2 linked regions of the Macaca fascicularis genome follow. The protein of the gene in region 1 interacts with the protein of each later gene in a pairwise test. Links are inferred from orthologs where the notes say so. Each region holds a gene or a part of one and is shown in the gene's direction. Other genes may lie near its edges.

Region 1 (7,377 bases):
GGTAGAGGCACAGATTAACAAGGGCTTGGATCAAGATGATAGTCTTGCTTGGAAACAGATTAGTGTAAGAGCTATTATTATGCAGTAGTGTGTCCATAATTCAGTCATCACTGGATGTAATGAGTAAAGAAGTAGCCTAAAAGATGACATTTTAAGGTTTTCAGTGTGGATAATAAGGAGAGTGGGAGTAGCATTTACTGAAACAGGGACATTAGCAGAAGCAAGACTGGAAGGTGAAATCATTTTTTATTTTTAAACTTTGATTTATTAAACATATGTTATTGAGTGGCATTGTTATTGAGTTATTAGGCACTGTTATACTAGTGATACAGCAGGGAACACAATAGGCAAGATCCCTACTTTCATGGCACTTTACCTTCAGAAGTGAGTTGAAGACCAAATTATAAAAGGACAAAGACAAGACAAAACTAGGTGGTGATACGGTGATATACTGAGGGGAACCACTTTTAGATGGGAAGGTCAGGAATGGCATTTCTAAAGAGGAGAGATTTGAACTCAGACCAGAATATTACAAAGGAATCAACTATGTAAAGATCTGCGTGCAAAGGCATCCCCACTTAGACTGGAGAGTATGTGCAAAGTCCCTAAGAAGGAAATGAGCTTGATTTGTTTGAGGGCCGGAAGAGAGGCCAGTATATCAAGTGCAGAGTGAGCAAGGGAGAGACTAATAGAGATGAGGTCTGAGAAGGCAATAGAATTAAACTTAAGTGGGGCCTCAGAGGTCTTGCTCTGGAGTTTGGTGGCTTACTGATGGCAGTGGAAATAAAGTAGTTGTTGAACTTAGCTGTCTGTGAAACATCTAGATGAAGTCAATTAACAGGCTTCAATATACAAACTCAAATATAATTTGCCTCTATTATTCATTGAAATAACTTTCCAAGTTGTTTAGGCATTGAACAAAGAAAGGCTCACAATATGGAGGCATGAGGAGTATGTCAAGGATGTGGTCAAGGGACCAGAGGAATCAGGAATCTCTAGCAGTTCTTCCCCACCCCTCACCCCCCAACTTAGCTTTGACTTGAAACTCATCTAGCAGTTCTTTACTAAAATAAAGGTCATCTTAAATATTATTGCGACCTTTAAAGTAATGACTGTTATATAAATGTTATGAGAAAAGTAGTCAAAAAATTGTGGCCGAAAATACCTGTGTCTTCAGGGGATGTAAAGGGTATTTGCCAACTTAAAATACCTGCAGCTCCATAGGGACCATGCTGTAGATTTTGTAGAGTGCTTGTTCAGACAGTACTCTCATTTCTAGAAATGCATTTTTTTTTTTTTGTAGTAAACAGAAAGTGTGTGTATCACTGTGCTTCTTGGTACACAAGTAGTTTGAATAGATTGTGTAGCCACGGTCATCCTTAAGGCATCTGGTTTTCCTAAATACGTGTTCAAAAACACTGAAACAAAATAATTATACCTTTTGTTTATGTATTGCTTTATAATTTATATAGCCTTTACCCCTGGAAAATCAACTTGATCCTCAGAAACAGCTCTTTAAAGTAGACAGGGAGCAGAAATTTTACGGAAGTCAGTGTTACTGTTTTAGAGTTGAGGAAACTGAGGATCCCTGAGTGCACAGTCATAAATTTACAACTCTGACTTCACTTGCATTGCTTTACTTACCACACCATGCTAATTCAAAGGTGTACAAAAATGTAAACTTTAGTAGAGGGTTTGTATCCTTACTGAAACAGTGACAAAATGTATTTTTTAATGTGTATCTTAGTTATGGGTGCTACCAAAAGGAATTAAAGGTGCTGTGGATATGCAGAGGACGGTGAGATTGACTTTGGCTGGGAGAGTCAGAGGTTTAATTTTGTTTAGAAAATGTGTACTATTTTCTTACTTGGTAATTTTTATTGCTTCTTGTTGGTTGCCCCGTACTTTTAAGATACTACATATGCAGCTTTGAAATAACCACCCCCACCCCTGCCTTTTTTTTTTTTTTTTTTTTTTTTTTTTGAGACAGAGTCTCGCTCTTGTCTCCCAGGCTGGAGTGCAGTGGCACAATTTCGACTCACTGAAACCTCTGCCTCCCGGGTTCAAGCGATTCCCCTGTCTCAGCCTCCCAAGTAGCTGGGACTACAGGCGTGTGCAACCACACCTGGCTAATTTTTTGTTGAAGTGCAGTGGTGCAATCACTGGACTTTTTAGTAGAGATGGGGTTTCACTGTGTTAGCTAGGATGGTCTCCATCTCTTGACCTTGTGATTTACCCACCTCAGCCTCCGAAAATGCTGGGATTACAGGCATGAGCCACCATGCCCGGCCTGAAAGAAACCATTTTATATGCAGGACTGGCATGTTTATTTCTGCTAGCATATTTTATTCTTTTTTTTTTTTTTTTCTTTTTTTTGGGGATAGAGTCTCGCTCTGTCACCCAGGCTGCATGATCTCGGCTCACTGTAAGCTCTGCCTCCCGGGTTCACGCCATTCTCCTGCCTCAGCCTTGTGAATAGCGAGTAGCTGGGACTACAGGTGCCCGCCACCATGCCCAACTAATTTTTTTGTATTTTTAGTAGAGACGGGGTTTCACCATGTTAACCAGGATGGTCTCGATCTCCTGACCTTGTGATCCTCCGTCTCGACCTCCCAAAGTGACTTATTTTATTCTTGTATTGCCCCTGAACTCAGCAGAGATGAATTAGTAACAGTAGCTACTATGTAATGAGCAATTCTGTGCCAGCACTGTGGTAGAGGATTTATAAATTAACTTACTTAATACTTATATCAATATTCTGAGGTGGAAACATTCTTTCATAAATTGGTATTTTCTTTTCAGTCCATTCACATACTTGTTATTCCCACATCTGATGGGGAGAATGTAGAACTGTGTGAAAGAAAAGATAATTATAAGGCATCATAGGCTGGGTGCGGTGGCTCACACCTGTAATACCAGCACTTTGGGAGGCCGAAGCAGGTGAATCACCTGAGGTGAGGAGTTTGAGACTAGCCTGGCAAACATTGCGAAACCCTGTCTCTACTAAAAATACAAAAAAAAACTATCTGGGCATGTTGGCACGCACCTGTCATCCCAGCTACTAGGGAGGCTGAAGCAGGAGAATTGCTTGAATCCAGGAGGTGGAGGTTGCAGTGAGCTGAGATCGTGCTACTGCACTCCAGCCTGGGTGACAGAGCAAGACTCCTTCTCAAAAAAAAAAAAAAAAAAAGAGCATTGTATTTCAGGATAATGTTAAGCCATGCAAATACATTTTTTTGTTGTTTTATTGTGCATTATTTATTATATTTTTACCAAAGTGAAGAAGCCGCGCTGGTATATATACTAATCTGAGCAATGAAGTGTAAGCTATATAACATGAGTGAATAAAGTAATAATATTTTAAATGTCTTTTTATGATTACAGTGACAGTATGTAGTAATCTTGGGTGGTTTTGCATTTTAAAAACCACTTTATGTATACAATTTAAAAAGTCAAATCAATAAAGAGATGTTTATTTAAACTATTTAGGAATGCAAGATGTCCATAAAACTTAATCCTTTGTTTAGTGACTTTTCACTCCTGTATTTTCTTGTTGTGATGAGATATGTTGCTTACTGTGGAAATGGTAATAAAGCTTTGTGTTTATATAACGTCTTTTATCTTAGGATCTCAAAATGCTTTTAGACTCATGTATCCTCATAGTATTTTAGTGAGTAGGTAAGTAGCAAGTATTATTATCTTCATTTTATAGATGGAGAGAGAAATTAAGTCCAAAAGTGGGTTAAATGATTTATGTATATAGTTCCGTCATCTAGATACATAGGCAACCTGAGCCACTAAAGTGAGAATACTATATTTTAGAAGGATTGACATAGTATAAGCCATTAACCCCTTAGTTTTTGTACTTTACAGATTGTTAGAAAAAATTTATGCACATGGAATTTTTTTTTAATCCTTTCTTTAGATGTAGAAAACATTACAATGTTTCTTTTTTTTTTTCTTCCTTTTTAGGTCAGCAGCAAGGACAAGATGGAGTAAAAGTCCAGCAAGCTACTATAGCTCCTGTAACTGTAGCAGTTGGAGGAATTGCTAATGCCACGATAGGTGCTGTTAGTCCTGACCAACTCACACAAGTGCATTTGCAGCAAGGCCAGCAAACTTCTGATCAAGAGGTACAACCTGGCAAGAGGCTTCGAAGAGTTGCCTGTTCCTGTCCTAATTGTAGGGAAGGAGAAGGAAGGTAAATGCTCTGTTTTTCAACTGTGTCCATTTGGAAGGCATAAAACAGGAGTTAAAACCGAGTAATTGGCTGGGAATGATGGTCACAAGAACCTCATTACCTTCATAGCCTAGAAGTTGATATATAATATTAGAAAGGGAATTAAGTTAGGCTATTTTAGGAATGAAATTTGAGTGGTCCTCTGCCTTGTTCCTTACACTTTAAAAATACATTTTTTCTTTCTTTTTTCTACCCCCTCCCCCGGGCCCCCCCAACGAGATGGAGTTTCACTCTGCTGCCCAGGCTGGAGTGCAACGGTGTGATCTCGGCTCACTGCAACCTCTACTTCCCGGGTTCAAGCGATTCTCCTGCCTCAGCCTTCCGAGTAGCTGGGATTAATTATAGGCGCCCGCCACCACACGCGGCTAATTTTTGTATTTTTAGTAGAGACAGGGTTTCACCATGTCGGCCAGGATGGTCTCAAACTCCTGACCTCAGGTGATCCGCCCAGCTCAGCCCCCCAAGTGCTGGGATTACAGGTGTGAGCCACTGTGCCCAGCCCATTTTTTTTTCATAAAATTTTTACATAACTTTATTGATATAAAACTCGCTCTTACACCCTATAGTTCACCCATTTAAAGTGTACAATTCAGTGGTTTTTAATATATTCAGAGCTGTGTAGACATGACTACAATCAATTTTAGAATGTTTTCATCATCCCCAGAATAAATTCTGTATCTTTTAAACATCACCCCCTTATCCTCCCAACCCTTCCATCCTAAACAACTAATTTCTGTCTTTATAGATTTGTCTGTTCTGGACAATTCATATAAATGGAATCGTGACTTTTGTGACTGGTTTCTTTTAGCATAATGTTTTCAAGGTTCAGCCGTATTACAGCATGATCAGTACTTCATTCCTTTTTAGGGACAAATAATATTTCTCTGTATGGATATACAATATTTTGTTTATCCTGTCACTTGAAGGACATTTGGTTTTATCCACCCACTGACCATTATGAATAATACTGCAGTAAACATTTGTGTACAAGTGTTTATGTGGACATATGTTTTCATTTCTCTTGTATTTTTATGAAATTACCTAGAAATGGAATTTCTGGGTCATATTGTATTTCTATGTTTAACCATTTGAGGAACTTACAGATTATTTTCCAAAAATGGCTGTACCATTTAACATTTCCATCAGTAGGGTATGAGGGTTCCAGTCTCTAGATCATTGCCAGTACTTGTCATTATCTGACTTCATGATTAAAGCTATCCTACTGGGTTTGAAGTGATACCTCACGGCAGTTTTGTTTTTCCCGATTACTAGTGATATTAAGCATATTTTCTTGTTCTTATTGGCCATGTTTGTATCTTTGGAGAAATATTTATTTGGATCTTTTGCCCATTTTAAATTATATTATTTTTCATTATGGAATTGTCTCTTTATATATTCTAGATACAAGTTCCTTATCAGATATATGATTTGAGAATATTGTCTCCCGGCTGGGCATGGTGGCTCACGCCTGTAATCCCAGCACTTTGGGATGCCAAGGCAGGTGGATCACCTGAGGTCAGGAGTTGGAGACCAGCCTGACCGGCATGGAGAAACCCCATCTCTACTAAAAATACAAAATTAGCCAAGCATGGTGGCGCGTGCCTGTAATCCCAGCAACTCGGGAGGCTGAGGGAGGAGAATTGCTTGAACCCAGGAGGCAGAGGTTGCGGTGAGCCGAGATCGCGCCACTGCACTCCAGCCTGGGTGAAAGAGCAAAACTCCGTCTAAAAAAAAAAAAAAAGAGAAAAATATTGTCTCCCATTGTGTGAATCGTCTTTATACTTTCTTGATAGTGCCTTTGCACCAAAGTTTTGATTTTGAAGTCTAGAGTTTTCTATTTTCCTTTATTGCTTCTGCTTGTGGTATTGTGTCAGAATTCATTGCCAAATCCAAAGTCATTAAGATTCCTAGGTTTTTTTGGGTTTTTTTTAAAGATAATTTTATAGTTTTTACTCTTACATTTAGGTCTTTGATGAATTTGGGGTTAATTTTTATATGGTGTTAGGTAAGGGTTCATCAAACACCATTTGTTGAAAAGACTCTCCTTTCTCCATTGAGTGTTCTTGGCACCCATGTCAAAAATTAGTTGACCATAGAACATGGATTTATTTCAGGACTTTCAATTCTATTCCATTGATCTGTATATCTGTCTTTATATCAGTACCACAGTGTCTTGAGTACTTTGGATTTGTAATAACTTTTGAAATCGAGAAATGTGAGTCCTGCAACTTTGTTATTTTTCGAAATTGTATTGACTCTTTAGGGACACTTGCAATTCCATGTGAATTTTAGAATCAGTTTGTCAATTTCTACAAAGAAGCCAGATGGTATTCTGATGGGAATTGCATTGAATCTGTAGATCACTTTGGGGACTGTTGCCTGCTTAACAATATTTTATCTTTTGGTCCATGCACATGGGAAGTATTTCTGGTTATTTAATCTTTAACTTCTTTCATCAATGGTTTATAGTTTTCAGAGTATACATTTTGTACTTTTGTTAAATTCCAATTTTATTTCTGATACTGTTATAAGTTGAACTGTTTCCTTGGTTGTTCATTACAACTGTGTAGAAATATATTTTTTAAGTGTATTAATCTTGTATCCTGCAACTTTTGCTGAACTTTTTGATTAGTTATAACAGGTTTTTTTTTTTGTTTTTTTTTTTTTTAGTGGAGTCTAGAATTTCTATGTTTGAGGTCATGGAATCTGTGAACAGAGATAACTTTTACTTTTTCCTTTCTATGCTGCAGGAGTTCTGTTTCTTTTTCTTACTTAATTTCTCTGTCTGGAACCTCTGGTACAATGTTGACAGTGTGCTTGTATTTTTTTTGAGGCTTTTTGCATCCATATTCATAAGAGATACGTCTGTGGTTTTCTTTTTTTGTAATGTTTTTATCTGATTTTGATAATAATACCGGCCTCATAGAATGAATTGGAAAGTATTCCCTCCAAACTGGTATTAATTCTTTAAATGTTTTGTGGAATTTACAAGTGAAGCTGTCTGTTCTTGGGCTTTTCATATGGGTAGTTTTAATTACTAATTCAGTCTAGTTGCTTGTTGTGGGTTTATTCTGATTGATTATCTGTTCCTGAGTCAGTTTTAGTATTTTGGTCCATATTTTTCTAGGAATTTGTCC
Region 2 (7,377 bases), on another chromosome or scaffold:
CAAAAGAATAAAATACTTAGGAATAAACTTAAGAAGTGTAAGACTTGAACAATGAAAACTACAATTTGCTGAAAGAAGTTAAAAGAAGTCTAAATAAAGAGACATTTCATATTCCACATTCATGTTTTGGAAAACGAGGCATTCTTAATTTGACAGTTTTTCTCCAGCTTGAGGTATGTGTGCATATCTCTCTTTCTCTGATTTCAGGGTTTATCTACATTATAACACAAATATATATTTTTTATTTTATTTATTTTATATATATATATAATTTGTTATATATATATATATATAATTTGTTTTCTGTTTTCTAGACAGGGTATTGCCCTATCACAGTGGCACAATCACAGTTCACTGCAGCCTCAACTTCCCAAGCTTAAGCGATCCTCCCATTTCAGCCTCCCCAGTAGCTGGGACTATAGCCACATGCCACCTGCCCAGCTCATTTTTGTATTTTTTGCAGAGATGGGGTTTTGCCGTATTGCCCAGGCTGGTCTTGAACTCCTGGGCTCAAGCAATTCACCCACCTTGGCCTCCCAAAGTGCTAGGATTACAGGCATGAGCCACCATGCTCAGTCTTCCAGCTTGATTTATAGATTCAACAAAATCATAGTAAAAATTCCAACAGGTTTTTTTTGTTTTGTTTTAAAGAAATCAATAAACTCTTTCGAAAATATACATGGAAGGGACCCAGAATAGCCAAAACAATTTTGAAAAAGAATGAAATTAGAGGATTTTCATATCCTGATTTCAAGGTTTACTGTAAAGCAACAATAAAGCAGTATATTACTGGCGTACATATAGATATATACATTAAATGGAACTAAATTAAGAGTCCAGAAGCAAAACTTTGAATTTATGCTTTATTGATATTTGACAGAGGTGCCAAGGCAATTCAATAGGGAAAGGATAGTCTTCAACAAATGGTTCTAGGACAACTGGATATCCGTACGCAGAAAGAGGAATTTAGATACTTACCTTACACCGTGCATAAAAATTAACTGAAATGGATCAAAGGCCTAAATATAAGAGCTGAAACTATAAAGCTTCTAGTAAATTAGGTGGGACAAAATCTTTGTGACTTTGGGTTAAGCAAAGAGTTCATAGACACAGCACCAAGAGAATAATCCATAAAAGAAAAAATATATTAGTAAATTCAACATCTTTTGTGCTTTTTGAAGCACAAAAGCCACAGACTGAGAGAAAACATTTGCAGATCACATATCCAATAAAGAAATTGTGTCTAGAATGTATAAACAACTCTTACAACTCAATAGTAAGAATATAAACAACTCAGATTTTTAAATGGACAAATGTAAGTATACATTTTACCAAGGAAGATATAGGAGTGACTAGTAAGCACATGGAGAGATGTGTAACGTTAGCATTACTTATTAGGGAAATGCAGATTAAAACCATAATAAGATACTACTTTGTACTCACCAGAATGGCTATAATCAAAAAGACCCAAGATGATGAACGTTGGGAAGGATGTGGAGAAACTGGAACTTTGATGCATTGCTTGTAGGAGTGTAGAATGATACAACTTCAGAAAACACCTTGGCAGTTCTTTTAAACATAAATTTAGCATCCTACCCAGCAATTTCCCCAAGAGAAATGAAGACATTTCCACACAAAAACTTTAATGTGAGTGTTCATATAGCAGTCTTATTTATAATATCCAAAAACTGGAAACAAACCAGTGCTCATCAACTGGTGAATGAATAAACAAAATGTGTCGTATCTACATAGTGGAATATTACTCAGCCATAAAAATTAATGAGGTATTGATTTGTGCTACAATGTGGATGAACCTTGAAAACAGAATACTAAGTAAAAGAAGCCAGATGCAAGAGACTACATATTGTATGATTCCATTTGTGTGGACATTTGTGTGAAATGTCCACAAAAATCTATTATAGAGACAAAAAGCAGATAACTAGGTAGGAGTGTGACATGATTACAAACAGGCACAAGGGATCTTTTCTGGGAGTGGAAATGTCATAATCTGGGTTGGGATGATGGTTGTATAACTCTGTAAGTTGATTAAAAGTAATCAAATTTTAAAACTGGATGAATTTTCATGTGCTTACTAGTCACTCCTATATCTTCCTTGGTAAAATGTATACTAACATTTGTCCATTTAAAAATCTGAGTTGTCTATATTCTTACTATTGAGTTGTAAGAGTTGTTTATACATTCTAGACACAATTTCTTTATTGGATATGTGATCTGCAAATGTTTTCTCTCAGTCTGTGGCTTTTGAAGCACAAAAGATTTTACTTTTGATGAAGTTGAATTTACTGATTTATTTTTTTCTTCTATGAATCGTTCTCTTGGTGCTGTGTCTATGAACTCTTTGCTTAACCCAAGGTCACAAAGATTTTGTCCTACTTTATTTACTAGAAGCTTTATAGTTTCAGTTCTTATATTTTAGGCCTTTGATCCATTTTAGTTAATTTTTATGCATGGTACAAGGTAAGGATTGAAATTCCTCTTTCTGCATATGGATATCCAATTTATAAATTGTACCTCAATAAAAGCTGTTTGAGAAAAGACAAGACAGGATGGGAAGCACAGGGAAGTACTAGGTACTATATACACACCTTGGCTATAGCTTCCTACTGCCCCTGTGAGGTGGGTGGTGGCATCTTATTTTGCCGTTGAGGACATTGAGGCTCAACAACACTAAGTTCACCAGTGAAAGTTACCCAAGTAATTAAATTGCCAAGTTGCCAAGAATTTACAGTCAGTAAATACATACATTGATTAAAACGACTTACTGGCTGGGATAATTAATTTAAAGATAATTTTAAGTTGTTATACCATAATGCTTATATGACTTTTATATTGGAGACACCTAGAACAATTTTGAATGGTTCTGGAGTCATCATCTCCTGGCCTAGATTAAATTCACTGATAAAATTTGACTGGAATTTTCTTTGTAAACTTAAGGGATTTAAGAAAACAGTTGGTGAATGATTTGAAGGTGGCCAGAGAGTAAAAAAATAACTATTTTAAGCCTTTTGAGCTCAAGATATTAGGACTTATAAAAATAGGCAATTTCAATTTCAGAACTTTGAAAGGCAAGTAGTACCCATAGGTAAAATCAGGTTAGATAAGGTGATAAATTGGTCAGAAAAAGATTGAAAGTACATTGAAATTGCTTAGCGTGGAAGAGAAATAAGAAAAGATGTTCACCTTACTATACAACAGGGGGCATGTCTTAAGAGAAGATTAAAGTGAAAAAGGGTATATGAATCTGCCTAACACAGGACCCTACACAGCATCCAATGTTCAGTGGTAGATTGTTCTGAGAGATTTAGAACCAAAGAAGTAATGAACGAAAATAGAATTCATAGTATCTACAAAGGTGTAATGATACTTAGGGGCAGTGGCAATAAAAATAAATCATTTATATTTTTCAGAAAGGTAGACAGAGGAAGAAAACCTTCCTTTTTATTTACCAATAAGAACATTATGTCCTCATTCATTTGGCAACCGTTTTTGCACAGCTTTATAGGAGGTGGAGAAAGTAGTCAGTGCTGAAATAGATGATGTCTGAGTCTCTCCCAACCCTGTGACATGTGATAAAAACTGAAGAGTGGAAATGAGAAGAGAGTTCAATTCTCGGTGTTCTTAGTACAGACCAGAGGAAGGTTTTAAAACAGATTTGGGAAGGACAAAATTGCCTGAATTTGTAACAAGGTTGTTATGAAAGAAGAGCATGTTCTGAAGCTTGGTAAAAGATTTCATCACCAAAAAATGTTGTTATTTTATATATATATATATATATTTTTTTTTTAATGGAGTCTTGCTTCGTCACCCAGGCTGGAATGCAACGGCGTGATCTCAGCTCAATGCTACCTCCACCTCCTGGGTTCAAGCAGTTCTCCTGCCTCAGCCTCCCAAGTAGCTGAAATTATAGGCTCCCACCTCCATGCCTGGCTAATTTTTATATTTTTAATAGAGACAGTGTTTCACCACATTCGCCAGGCTGGTTTCAAACTCCTGACCTCAAATGATCCACTCACCTTGGCCTCCCAAAGTGGTGGGATCACAGGTGTGAGCCACCACACCCGGCCTTGTCTTACCATTTTCAGTGGGGCTACTAGAAATGTTTAAATTACATATGTCTTGTATTTCTGTTAGACAACGCTGATCTCAAACATTAAATAATCCTAGCAAATGTGTTTTAGTGTTTAGTAATGATGTATTTAATGTCAGTTAGTCATTTATATCCAAATGTTCATTCTCCTTAAACCAAGAGCATAGGCACTTTTTTCTAAAAAGTGCCTAACAAATAATTTCTTCCTTGAGACAGAGTCTTGCTCTGTCACCAGGCTGGAGTGCAGTGACATGATCTCAGCTCACTGCAACCTCTGCCTCCCAGGTTCAAGCAATTCTCCTGCCTCAGCCTCCTGAGTAGCTGGGACTACAGGCGCCCGCCACCACACCCAGCTAATTTTTGTATTTTTAGTAGAGATGGGGTTTCACCATGTTGGCCAGGATGGTCTCGATCTCTTGACCTCGTGATCCGCCCACCTAAGCCTCCTAAAGTGCTGGGATTACAGGTGTGAGCCACCATGCCCGGCCTACAAATAATAATTTCTTAGATCTTAATTTTTATGCTAGCTTTTATGAGATTCATAGTATCATTGTGTGTTGTTGTTGTTTTTTTTTACCACAGTGGACTTTTTGAGAGCTAATTTTTATTACAGAATAGTTGTTTGAATGTAGAGAAGGCATGTAGTCATTTTTATACTATGTTGTTGTTGATACTGAATTCTTAGAAAAGTATATAACTTTCTGTTTTTCTTCTCCTTGTTTTGATTTTTCTGAGGAGACCACTAAGGAGATTTCTGAATGAAAAGAGCTTTACAGAAGTTTTTCTTCTTTTGCTTTCTTTTTCTTCCCCAGAGCAGTTGTATTCCATAATTAGAGCTTGTATGATTCTTTTGTTTCTTGAATAGGAAATAGGCAATGGAAAACTTCTCTGTTTCTTCCATTGCTCATATCTCTTAAAGTAGGGTTCCTAGCTGTGATTCTAAAATGTTTGGTTTTGTAGTTAATTTCCATAGAAGCACTAAACTAGGTCATTAAAGAACAAATTTACAAGGTGGTAGGTTAATTATTCCATTGATTATAGAGTTTAGCTGAGTAAAGCCACCATTCTTCCAAAACCATTTACAAAAGGTCATCTTCTAATCTGTTTCTCTTTTCAGGCACTTCAGACACCACCTCCAACAACACAGCAACCGTGATTTCCACAGCACCTCCAGCTTCCTCAGCAGTTACGTCCCCCTCTCTGAGTCCCTCCCCTTCTGCCTCAGCCTCCACCTCTGAGGCATCCAGTGCCAGTGAGACCAGCACAACACAGACCACCTCCACTCCTTTGTCCTCCCCTCTTGGGACCAGCCAGGTGATGGTGACAGCGTCAGGTTTGCAAACAGCAGCAGCTGCTGCCCTTCAAGGAGCTGCACAGTTGCCAGCAAATGCCAGTCTTGCTGCCATGGCAGCTGCTGCAGGACTAAACCCAAGCCTGATGGCACCCTCACAGTTTGCGGCTGGGTAAGGCGCTTTCTCATCTCATTGACATCTGAGGTGGAGGTCATCCCTGGAATTACTCATAGGGTAGACTTTGCATCACTGACTTAAATGGGGAAAAAAATGTCTTTAAAGCAGTACTCTCTTTGAAGTGGGCTGTTTTGTGATCATACAAGGACCTTGATTATGGTTTAAGTTTCTTAACACCCTGGGAAGGGCAGTAGTCATACCTTTGTTTACAGATGAAGACCCAAAATATCAGGTCACTAATTACCTTAGTGACAGGGCCAAGAAGAAAGCCCAGAATTCTTAACTCTTATTTTCCCCATTAAACTCTCTCAACTGCCTACTTCCTAATTCTCAAGCATAGATGAGAGATGTAATGGGAGTCTCAATTTTATACTGTTATTGTCACACATAAGAATTATCTTGTAAATATATCTTTTTCTCTAGAATGTTTCTTTCATTTTGGAAAAAAAGAGAAATAAGTCATTCAAAGAAGGGTCAAAATGACTGTAAAAGTTTTACATTTTGTGCTGATCATAACCTCGTTTGTACAAGTAAGCCTCCAGGAAAGCAGTAACTGAGAAACACAAACCATAGAAGAGTAAAGAAAAGTAAATATTTCCACCTGTTTCCCCAGCTGGATTTTCCTTTTGTAAGTTCCTTTTGGTGTGTTGTCAAAATGAGACCTGCATCTCCATGGTAATAAAGTGACTCCTCTTTTGGACTTGCAGAGGTGCCTTACTCAGTCTGAATCCAGGGACCCTGAGCGGTGCTCTCAGCCCAGCTCTAATGAGCAACAGTACACTGGCAACTATTCAAGGTCAGTAGAAGCCTTTTTCTTTCTTTGGTGGCATGCACACATGTACACGTGTGTGTGTGTGTGCGCGCGCTTGAGAGAGACACACACAGAGAGATGGAGGAAGTCTGCTTTGCTAGAGGTAAAAGTGATGGGAAAGATAGTCAAATGCTGACTAACGTGTTGTTGAGAACTAAGAAAATGTCCTCATTAAAAAGCTTTGTAAGAAAAGTACAGGTGTTAGTATGTGAGTAAAAGCAGGAAATATACTTAGTTTGGTATATGGTAAGAAACCAGAACTTTTATGCCAATATTGATCTTATGTGAATAGACTTGAAGCCAGATTTTTTTTCCCCTGATAAGTTTATCCGAAGTATTAATCCAAAACCCATCTCAAGGCAAACTTGACCAAGTAAGACTCTCCGGTCCCCATCCCCACTCCTGAGAAAGCTGTGCATGGGAAAGTCCTATGATGAATGAACATTGGAACACATCAGGTGGACCTCAGGAGTGCTTTTCATTCTCATTAGGTTCTGTTCTTTTTATATCACCATTAGTGTAGAACATATATTCTCTTGGATTATAATGTCTCTTTTCCAAGTTCAGCTGGGTTCCTTTTACCTTTTAGCATGTTACCCAGGGCAATATTCATTCCATGTAGTGAAGGGTTCCACTTGTTTAGTACCTAAGCTTTCTGTCTAAAAATGTTTACTGTTACGTGATGCAGGGAGACAATCTGAGAGACATCACTAATGAGTTAGAATTTTTTTTCTTAAAATAGTTTTGATGAGAGGCTGAGGCAGGGGGTCACTTGAGGCCATGAGTTCAAGACTGCAGTGTGCCATGATCATGCCTGTGAATAACCATTGCACCCCAGCTTGGGCAACACAGTGAGACCCTGTTTCTTGAAAAAAAAAAAAAAAAAAAAAACGTGGTTTGTGCATAAATGAGAGTTCTCAGGGCCAAAAATAGCTATTAGCCAACCTCAGTTAAGATGAAGATTTCACAGGTGATGTCTCTGACAGAGT

What was found.
Region 2: the proteins of SP4 (region 1) and POU2F1 interact in binary tests that used the Homo sapiens proteins (3 or more experiments, as listed by UniProt). The two-hybrid records come from large-scale screens. The link is inferred for Macaca fascicularis from reciprocal best matches to the Homo sapiens genes SP4 and POU2F1.

What each region holds. Positions count from the first base shown.
Region 1 is NC_088377.1:108,762,640-108,770,016, reverse strand, and holds part of SP4 (transcription factor Sp4), read left to right. Parts: intron 1-3,972; coding exon 3,973-4,201; intron 4,202-7,377. UniProt on the Homo sapiens protein: Binds to GT and GC boxes promoters elements. Probable transcriptional activator.
Region 2 is NC_088375.1:25,083,954-25,091,330, forward strand, and holds part of POU2F1 (POU domain, class 2, transcription factor 1), read left to right. Parts: intron 1-5,225; coding exon 5,226-5,571; intron 5,572-6,284; coding exon 6,285-6,373; intron 6,374-7,377. UniProt on the Homo sapiens protein: Transcription factor that binds to the octamer motif (5'-ATTTGCAT-3') and activates the promoters of the genes for some small nuclear RNAs (snRNA) and of genes such as those for histone H2B and immunoglobulins.